2 linked regions of the Arabidopsis thaliana genome follow. The protein of the gene in region 1 interacts with the protein of each later gene in a biochemical or structural test. Each region holds a gene or a part of one and is shown in the gene's direction. Other genes may lie near its edges.

What was found. The genes of interacting proteins can lie anywhere in the genome.
Region 2: the proteins of HSF3 (region 1) and HSBP form a complex in vitro, tested with the Arabidopsis thaliana proteins (one study listed by BioGRID).

What each region holds. Positions count from the first base shown.
Region 1 is NC_003076.8:5,528,311-5,533,421, forward strand, and holds HSF3 (heat shock factor 3), read left to right. Parts: upstream 1-1,884; 5' UTR 1,885-2,135; coding exon 2,136-2,393; intron 2,394-2,999; coding exon 3,000-4,187; 3' UTR 4,188-4,189; intron 4,190-4,270; exon of another isoform or gene 4,271-4,278; 3' UTR 4,279-4,579; downstream 4,580-5,111. Other genes in the region: AT5G16810 (Protein kinase superfamily protein), read right to left, coding at 1-158, 269-334, 438-518, 738-795, 886-984, 1,342-1,568; SYP21 (syntaxin of plants 21), read right to left, coding at 4,766-4,831, 4,927-5,027. UniProt on the Arabidopsis thaliana protein: Transcriptional activator that specifically binds DNA sequence 5'-AGAAnnTTCT-3' known as heat shock promoter elements (HSE).
Region 2 is NC_003075.7:8,986,045-8,990,280, reverse strand, and holds HSBP (heat shock factor binding protein), read left to right. Parts: upstream 1-1,619; 5' UTR 1,620-1,941; coding exon 1,942-1,944; intron 1,945-2,555; coding exon 2,556-2,609; intron 2,610-2,701; coding exon 2,702-2,725; intron 2,726-2,819; coding exon 2,820-2,862; intron 2,863-3,280; coding exon 3,281-3,417; 3' UTR 3,418-3,683; downstream 3,684-4,236. Other genes in the region: AT4G15810 (P-loop containing nucleoside triphosphate hydrolases superfamily protein), read left to right, coding at 1-203, 468-1,119. UniProt on the Arabidopsis thaliana protein: Negative regulator of the heat shock (HS) response. Affects negatively HSFA1B DNA-binding capacity in vitro. Involved in acquired thermotolerance but not basal thermotolerance. Crucial for seed development, after fertilization and during embryogenesis.

The sequences.
Region 1 (5,111 bases):
TGAAGGATCTTAATAACAAAGTTTCTCCTTCGTTTTATCATCTGCTCTTTTTCATAAGGATTCCATACTCCTTGGGAGCGAGCTCTGGTTGTTTTTTCACTCGCAGTTTGCGCGTAGTCAGCTGCACTATCTTTCCCACCATCACGAAAAGCCAGCCACTGTAAGAATGAATTGACTCAGCCTATGTTCCATAAGGTATGCCAAAATATCCACAAACTAGTGCAGCTTAGATTCAACAAACTACAGTGCCACATATTGTAAGCCTGACCTGTTCCCCAAGTTGTGTCTCAAAGCCACCAACAAGTAGAAGCAGATTAGCAGGCAGGCTTTTGCTCTGTATAGACAAGCAGAATAACAAGTTGATTTCACTATTAGCCACCAAGGAGATGTAATTGCTAAGAATCTATTTAGCATTTTTGCATGGCTATTTATCCAACCTGGAGAAAAGAGTGTGCATTAAGCTCGTTTGCTGCCATCATGTCAGCCTCAACTCCACCAGCACGCTGTCCGGGGTAGACCTTTACAGAGACAAGTATGTGAGGGAAAGAATGAATGCAAAGCAATAAAATATCCAAATGAAGTTTTGATGATTCTAATAATGTAAGGAGGACTCGCACAGCTGAACAAAATATGCCCAGATAATGTAGAGAGACTCATGAAAAATGGAAACTGCCTTCAGGAAAAGAACAATATTGGCTGAGAAGAAGAAACAAGATTGACAAAACATGCAGAATCACCTTAAAGACGACAGGCGTTCCTCGAAATGGACCCTGAGATATTCGTCCTTGATATAGTCTGCATACAAACTGCTGTGGCTAATACATTTTTAACTTGACCAAATATATTACCATCTAATAAATTGTCTACACAAAGCCAAAAGTGCACCTGATCTTAACGGCACCTTCTCCAATATCTTGAGATTTTAATCGCCCAATATCATCAGACGTATATTCAAAGTCAGATCCTGACTGCAGCCCTGTATAACTAGGAGTATAGAAGTGGTGAAAAGCTAAGTAAACGAAGTAGAACACAGCGGCAGATAAAAGAGTAAAACTAGACCAACAAACGTAGCATAATCTAGCTAAAGATGCACAATAATCATAAGAAAGGTCAATGTATCCCAATTCAAATACACTAACAAAAGTGATTTTTTTGTTAAACCCTTCGAATAATTGTCAAGCTCACGTATACATTGCAATGAGTGCATAAACCTGTTGCAACTACAGATTCACACATACACAAACAATTTCGATATAAAATTAGAGATTTCGTTACACGAAGACGTAGAAACAACACAGAAGCTCCAGATAAAGAGAGAAATCAAAAATCCAGTGAGAGTACCTAGTTACATTCATGAATCCGTAGCTTCCGATAAGCCGCCCTACCTCGAACGAGTCAGCACTGGTTATCAAACTCGCTGTCACCGCATGCAACCGCCGAATCGGCCGATTCCGTCCACGCGAATTTACAATCCGACAGCCGGAGAATCCATCGCCTGATTCTCTATGTTTCAAAGAGAAACGCGAAACGCATTCGAAGGAAACGCGATGAATAGCGACCAGATTCATCGCTTTTGTTTGTGTTTCGTCGCTTCACTTCAAATTACTTTCCAGGATTTAACGAGTGTCAGTGTCAGTATAAGAGAGAGAGAGATAAGAGCCAGGAAAGTTTTCTCTGTGTCTTACGTGGCTTTTAATATACATAATTAAATGATATAATCGTGCGTCGTATAGATAAATATCTGAGATAATCTTATTAAATTTTAACGGTGTATATTATGCCACGTATGAAACTCACCGAGAAAAACAGAAAAAGCTGCTATCGATGCTACGTGTACTTTTAAACCGAATTAATCCGAACCAAATCAAAATACACGAAATGAAACCGTTTAATTTAGGTGACAGTCAGAGTGTCTACCAAAACTAATCGTACAAAACCGAACTGAATTGAACCGAAATGGCCATGCCTGCTTTTCTTCAGCTTTAAGGGAAAAGATCAAAGATTGGGTCTTCAACACTTGAGAGAGTCTCTGTCTCTGTAAAAGATATTTGAGCTTGAGAAGAACAGAAGAAACTTCCAGGATCAATCAATCGATCAACTTTAGTGAACTAACTCTTGATTTTTCATTCGAAGTTATGGAATCGGTTCCCGAATCCGTACCATCGCCGAACTCGAATACACCGTCAATACCACCGCCGGTGAACTCCGTACCGCCTTTCTTGAGTAAAACCTACGACATGGTTGATGATCCGTTGACCAATGAGGTCGTTTCGTGGAGCAGCGGGAACAACAGCTTCGTCGTCTGGAGTGCCCCGGAGTTCTCGAAGGTGCTCTTGCCCAAGTATTTCAAGCACAACAACTTCTCCAGCTTCGTCAGACAGTTAAATACTTATGTAAGCATCATTTTTTGTGTTATTGTCAATTTATTTTTCTAGAAATTGATCGTTTTTTCGTGGTACAATTTGGGGAACATCGTGAAATGTTGAAGGGTTCTAGTCTTAGTGACTAGATCCATGGATGTGTTGGATTATTTTTAAAGCCATATCAATCTGTCTACTCATCAAAAGATTCCACAGAACTTTGCAGGCGCACTGTCACATATGTCTGAAGATTGTTTCCTCAATTGTTTTCTGCCTTGTAGCTCTAACAAAACAGAATGTCTATCAGTTGTCTGAACATTAGCTTTGTTTTCATTTGTATATTTCCGTCCAGGTACACTTTTTTGATAAACTAAGAACTATTACTTTCCTTATAACATGGTGATTTTGTGCTACACCCAAGCATAGTGTGGAGAATTTGTTTACTTCTCAAACTTTGCTATAACTAGAACATATAACTAATCTGGTCTGTTTTCTAGTCTACCTGTTTAATGTTTATACATTTTTGTACAATTGCGCTATGTTGGCTTTTCTTCTTCCCCTAAATTCAAGCAACATCGTTTCAGTTCTTCAATTTGAATTTCGATATTTATGATAGCCTCTCTGTATTCTGATGTCCAGGGTTTCAGAAAAGTTGATCCTGACCGATGGGAATTTGCAAATGAAGGATTTCTTAGAGGCCGAAAACAACTACTGAAGAGTATTGTCAGGAGAAAACCTTCGCATGTGCAGCAGAATCAGCAACAAACTCAAGTTCAGAGCTCATCTGTTGGTGCTTGTGTCGAGGTGGGGAAGTTTGGAATAGAAGAAGAAGTGGAAAGACTTAAGCGGGATAAGAATGTTCTTATGCAAGAACTCGTCAGGTTAAGGCAGCAACAGCAAGCTACTGAAAACCAACTGCAGAATGTGGGACAGAAAGTTCAGGTGATGGAGCAAAGGCAACAACAAATGATGTCGTTTTTAGCAAAGGCTGTTCAAAGTCCAGGTTTCTTAAACCAGTTAGTACAACAGAATAATAATGATGGCAACAGACAAATTCCAGGAAGCAACAAAAAGAGGAGACTTCCTGTAGATGAGCAGGAGAATCGTGGTGACAATGTGGCTAATGGTCTTAACCGCCAGATTGTTAGATATCAGCCGTCGATAAACGAAGCAGCACAAAATATGCTTCGACAGTTCTTAAATACTAGTACCTCACCTCGGTATGAATCAGTTTCAAACAATCCTGACAGTTTCCTATTGGGTGATGTTCCCAGTTCTACCTCTGTAGACAATGGGAACCCTTCAAGTAGAGTTTCTGGAGTAACATTGGCCGAGTTTTCACCCAACACAGTTCAGTCAGCAACGAATCAAGTACCCGAAGCAAGTTTGGCTCATCATCCTCAAGCTGGTCTGGTTCAGCCAAATATAGGTCAAAGTCCGGCTCAAGGAGCAGCACCTGCAGACTCTTGGAGCCCTGAATTTGATTTAGTTGGATGCGAGACAGATAGTGGAGAGTGTTTTGATCCAATAATGGCTGTTTTAGATGAGTCAGAAGGCGATGCAATTTCTCCTGAAGGTGAGGGCAAGATGAATGAGTTACTGGAGGGAGTCCCTAAGCTGCCCGGAATCCAAGATCCATTCTGGGAACAGTTCTTTTCTGTTGAACTCCCAGCGATTGCAGATACAGACGATATTCTATCAGGATCAGTGGAGAATAATGACTTGGTATTGGAACAAGAACCAAACGAGTGGACCCGTAATGAACAACAAATGAAGTATCTTACTGAACAAATGGGACTGCTTTCCTCAGAAGCACAGAGGAAATAAAGGTAAGAACATCGTTAAGTTCAAACATGTTTCTCTGCATTGTTGTATATCTTGAGAGTTATCAATTGTCTCTCACAATGTAGATTTTCAGGGGAGGTTGCAAAAGGAGATATGAAGGAACGAGGAATATATCAGATGGTGTGTATACCCTTTACATTTTTACTTAAATGAAAAAAAAACAGAGAGAAGAAACATAAAAGATTTACCACCAAGCTTGTGAATAGTTAGTAGAGATCGGTTTTTGTGTTGTTTATATTATACTTTTGTGTGAAAACGTTCATCTTGTTCAATTATCATCTCACTAGTACGGTAATCTGTTGGTCACTGACCGGTTAATGACCAAAAAATCAAGATTATTTTCTTATGTTTATTTCTTTTGATCATGAAGATCCTTATGATGGAGTAATACATTGATTAAACATTCACACGATGAGAAGTTAAGATCAATTTGGTTGAATGGGGAAGATGGAGTATAAAGAATCTGTACATTAGATATATATCTTTAATGGGTCTTTGTATAGTTTCCATAGATTCGCTTGATGCTTGAAGATTGAAGCTTGGAGTTATATGTTTGATGCTTAGACCAAGACAACGATGATGACAATGAGTAGAACAATCCCAAAAATGAGAATAAGTAGGCATGTCTGCAACAAAGTAAAAGACAACAAACTTAGCTTAAGCTGCTAAGAATATGAAATCACAGAACTGAAAATGAGAAGAGAGTCTGTTTAGTCCGTACCAAAGAGGAGTTTGATCTTTGAGTTTTAGCTGCTTTTCTGAGTTGAACAGTGGCTTGTGTAGTTGCAGCATGTGAGTTGTCAAGGTTAGAGCTGATGTCATCTGCCAGTGCACATTATAGTTTTTTTCTGAGACTTTAAAAAGGCAAAGAGAAAACGAACAGGGAGATTTACAATTTCTGATTGT
Region 2 (4,236 bases), on another chromosome or scaffold:
ATCGGGAAAACTGGGGTGGGAAAAAGTGCAACGGTTAATTCTATTTTTGGGGAGACTAAATCTGCTGTTGGTGCATTTGGAGTTACCACTAACTCTGCAAATTATGTTGTTGGGAATGTAGGAGGAATCCAGATAAGTATACTTGATACGCCAGGACTCTTGTCCTCTGCAACTGAGGAACAGTTTAATCAGGAAGTCCTTATGTCAATAAAGAAAAGCATGAGAAAGTTCCCAGTTGATATCACCTCTATATTGACCGTCTAGATGACACTCCAGACATCCGTTTACTTAAAATCATCACCAGTTCCCTGGGCTCGTCAATATGGAAAAATGCTATCGTGGTTCTAACTCATGCAGCTTCCGATGTTGTAGATTCTTTAAGCTACAAGGAGTTTATTTCTCAGAGATCTTCTCTTATGCATCAATCAATCAGACAAGCAGTTCCAGAGTTAAGCTGTATAGACCAGAGCAAGATGCCTAGGAATTGTTCTGGCAGAGAACAACATGAGCTTCTTCTCCGCAAACAAAAGCAGCGAATCTACATGTTCGGATTGGAGATTGAACTTGCTGATCTTATGTTGCTCAGTTAAGATCCGGTCTAAAGCCGGTTCTTTGCAAAAGCAGAATACCGATGTAGAAAAGGCCGGTGTCTTTGGCTCCCAGCTTAGCTCTTTCACTCTATTCTGTTCCTTGTGGAATGTGTTACTTAACTCAGGGCACACTTCTCATTCACATGATGATTTGGAGGAGAAGAAAAGGAAATTACTGGATTCTTACCCTGAAATTATATGGGACGAACAGAGTCAAGAATGTCTCGAGCAAGAAACACTTCTCGTGGAGAATCAAGAATCAGAAGACGTGGAGAGACAACATGAAAAAGGAACTGTACTTGGTCGTGTAAGAACCAGAAGAGGAAGACTTGGATTCCAAGCAACAAAAAGGTTCGGTATCTATCTAGATACATCTGATGTGCACGCAGGGTTTTCCATTGGAAGCCGAGACTGTAGAAGAAATGTACAAGAAGAAGGGAAGATCTTGGTGAGGATGAGAGGCTCCATGTCTGTTTTAGGTTTGGTTCCTATGTTGATATCCGTATTCACTTCTGGAAAAGATATTTAAAATTGGAATTTGCTCTTGTTGTAGAAGTTGTAACATATCAGATGTGATCGTCGTGTCTTTTGTATTCCATTGATAATACACGAAAATTAACTATATCAAATACCAATGGTGTGAGGATAAGCAACATTTCACTTGTCTCCTGATTGTCTTGTGGTCAGGTTTGTTACTTCTTCCTCTATTGGGTTGTGGAGGATTAGAATCTCTCACATGGAGATAAGATGCTTATGTATGTCTTTTGGTTGTAATCATATAATTATATAAATCATGTGTTTCATTTCTCTTGTAAAATCATGATAGTGTTCAACAACCTCGTTAATATATCTATTGATGGTAAGAAACAAATAGGCTGTTCCAAATCTACATACTTCAGTCATCAATGTGTCAGGGTTTATGCCATTAGTGAGATAAGTCGTTATACAACACAATTCGAATTGGTCTGCCTTTAATCATCAAGAGGAACAAAAAGTTAAGCCAAATTTACAAATAAGATGATTACAAATAAATGTTTGCAGATTTGAACATCCACAATAATGATTTGAATCATCCTAAGATCTAGATCTCAATACCAAACGTACATAAAAATATTTGAAATTTGAATCACACACACATGATCCCACCCAATCGAATCATAACGATAGAAACTAAAGTAAAGAGGGGGCATTTTGGACATTGTATACCTATAAGGTTGGGGTTAACAGTAACAGCGTTTCTCTTCTCGTTTTATAAACATCGCATCACTCTTCTCCTCCGTCGTCTCTCATCGCTTTTCGCTGAAATCAAAATTTCTCCAGTTTTCCGATCACTCGCAAGAAAACCCTAAAAATGGTAAATATCCGCCTCCTAATATCATTGCGCTTTTTCGATTTTGCGTTTTCGTTCACGAAACCTAGGCTCGTTTATTCGGATTTGTCGATTGCATTTAAGGATATATCTTCGGATTAGGTTTTTTTACGGTTTAGTGGGAATCTCGCATGATATTCTTATGGTTGTTCTGTTATTGTAGATCAATTATCGAAATGTTGAGTTTATAGTGAAATCTGGACGATTTAGAGCATCTTTTGCTGGGTTACAATAAGATTTTGCATTTGCTCGATTTTCTGTTTTCATCTGTGGATTTTGAACTTGTGAATTCGGCTTTTCAAGAACTCTAGTATCGTGAAGTCCAGGATCTGATGGGGAGATTCAGTATAAGTTAACTTTTTCGTCCTTTTTCTTACTTAGAAATGTTCATGTATCGAGTTTGCTGTGTGTAATGCTAGTAGTACTAAGAAAGTTCAGATAGAAATATTCTCAATGGGCAATAGTTCATGCTTGTTTCTTTCCTTGTAACAATTTTTTTTCGTTAGTATAAAGCTTCAATTTCTTGTCCTGATGATTGTTATATTTACTGTGTCTTTGAGTTTCTTCTTACAGTTTTTTTTTTCTTTTGCTGACAGGATGGTCATGATTCTGAGGATACTAAGCAGAGCACTGCTGATATGACTGCTTTTGTGAGTATTCTCGTTCTCTTTGTTTGGTATTTTTGTGACTTTGAGACAATTTCACTTGGTTTATCACTGAATCCTTGAATTTTTATATGCAGGTCCAAAATCTTCTCCAGCAGATGGTAGGTTTTTCAGCTTTTATGTCTTCGTAGGCCTTGGAATTATACCTTCAATAGGTAGATTTTGATTAAATTTGGTCACATTTGTGTGTTTCAGCAAACCAGGTTCCAGACAATGTCGGACTCCATCATCACAAAGAATATCCTTATATCAATCTGTGGTTTTACTTGAGTGTTGCTTGAAGTAGAATATATGAAATGTTTCCCTCCTAGAACCAGTAATGATGATTGATTATTTGTGTCTTCAAGGAAAGAAGTTTAGTACTAGGTATTGAGAATTATCATTAGAATCTGTCTATTTTTCTGATTAAAGTATTTCTTGAGAGTCTAAATGTCTATTCTATGGGTAGTAGCACATGGTTCTATGGTATTTTCTCTTGTTAAGTTGCTATTATATGCATGCTTGTTCTTCTGCTCGCTATATATTCTAAACAAAAGCAACTTTATCACCATGAACTGATACAAGTTTGTAATCTGTGGTAACTCTTTGATCAGCAATCTTGTGTTCATGACATTGGTTTTGATCTCCTTGACTTTGATTTTGATTTGATGGTTCACTTGATGACATGGGAGGCAGAATCAATGAGCTGGAGCAAAGCATCAATGATCTAAGAGCCGAGATGGGAGTAGAAGGCACTCCTCCTCCAGCCTCCAAATCAGGCGATGAACCCAAAACACCGGCTAGTTCCTCTTAAAAAGGAATGTGGTGTTCATTGACATGTCCGAAGGAAAAAGAAAAACTATGAAATATGTTAAGAGCAGGCAGTATTACTTTTAAAATTCCTGTTTTAAGAAACGAGTTTGTTGTTTATTAAAGTTCATCAAATAGATTGATGATGTGGTGCATTACATTATTCTCCACCTATGAATTGCATTTCTATTTTGGTCTTGAGAGAACTAAGAAGTCTTCTTATGCTCCTATAATTCATATTACTGTCGATACTTAAACGCAACTTATCAGGGGGAATAGACAAACCAAGTTCATTGTTCCATTTTTGGGTTTGATTCCGGTTTTATTTTTTCAGATTTTGAATTTAGAAAAGGTTAAAGTATAGGAGCCATAGTTAGACTGATCGATTTATCAAAATCGAATCTCATAGCTGTATTAGGCTTTGATTATTTCGCATTTGTGTTTACATGAAAAAGGTCGGTAGAAATTTTTTAACAGTCTATTTTTGCCCAATGTGAATATATTTTCAAAGAGGATATGTTTAGCCTGCGTTTACAACTAAAAACAAAAGTTGTTTAAAATGTTGAAAATTGCAAGGTTTCAAAGAAACACACTAGATAGAAAAGTAGTCACAAGACTATCATTATCGAATAAATCAATAAACAACTGGTGATGAGTTGGTTTATGCTTGTCATGAGGTATGAGTTTGCGGTCCAAAACCCCTTTTCTCCAAAACTTTGGTTTTTATTTCTCTGTGACAAAGCCCCTTGAGGACCCCGGAGGAGCAAATAAAGTGTATCTTCGAATATCAATGCTTTGTTATTTTGTTTTGACTATTTTTTCT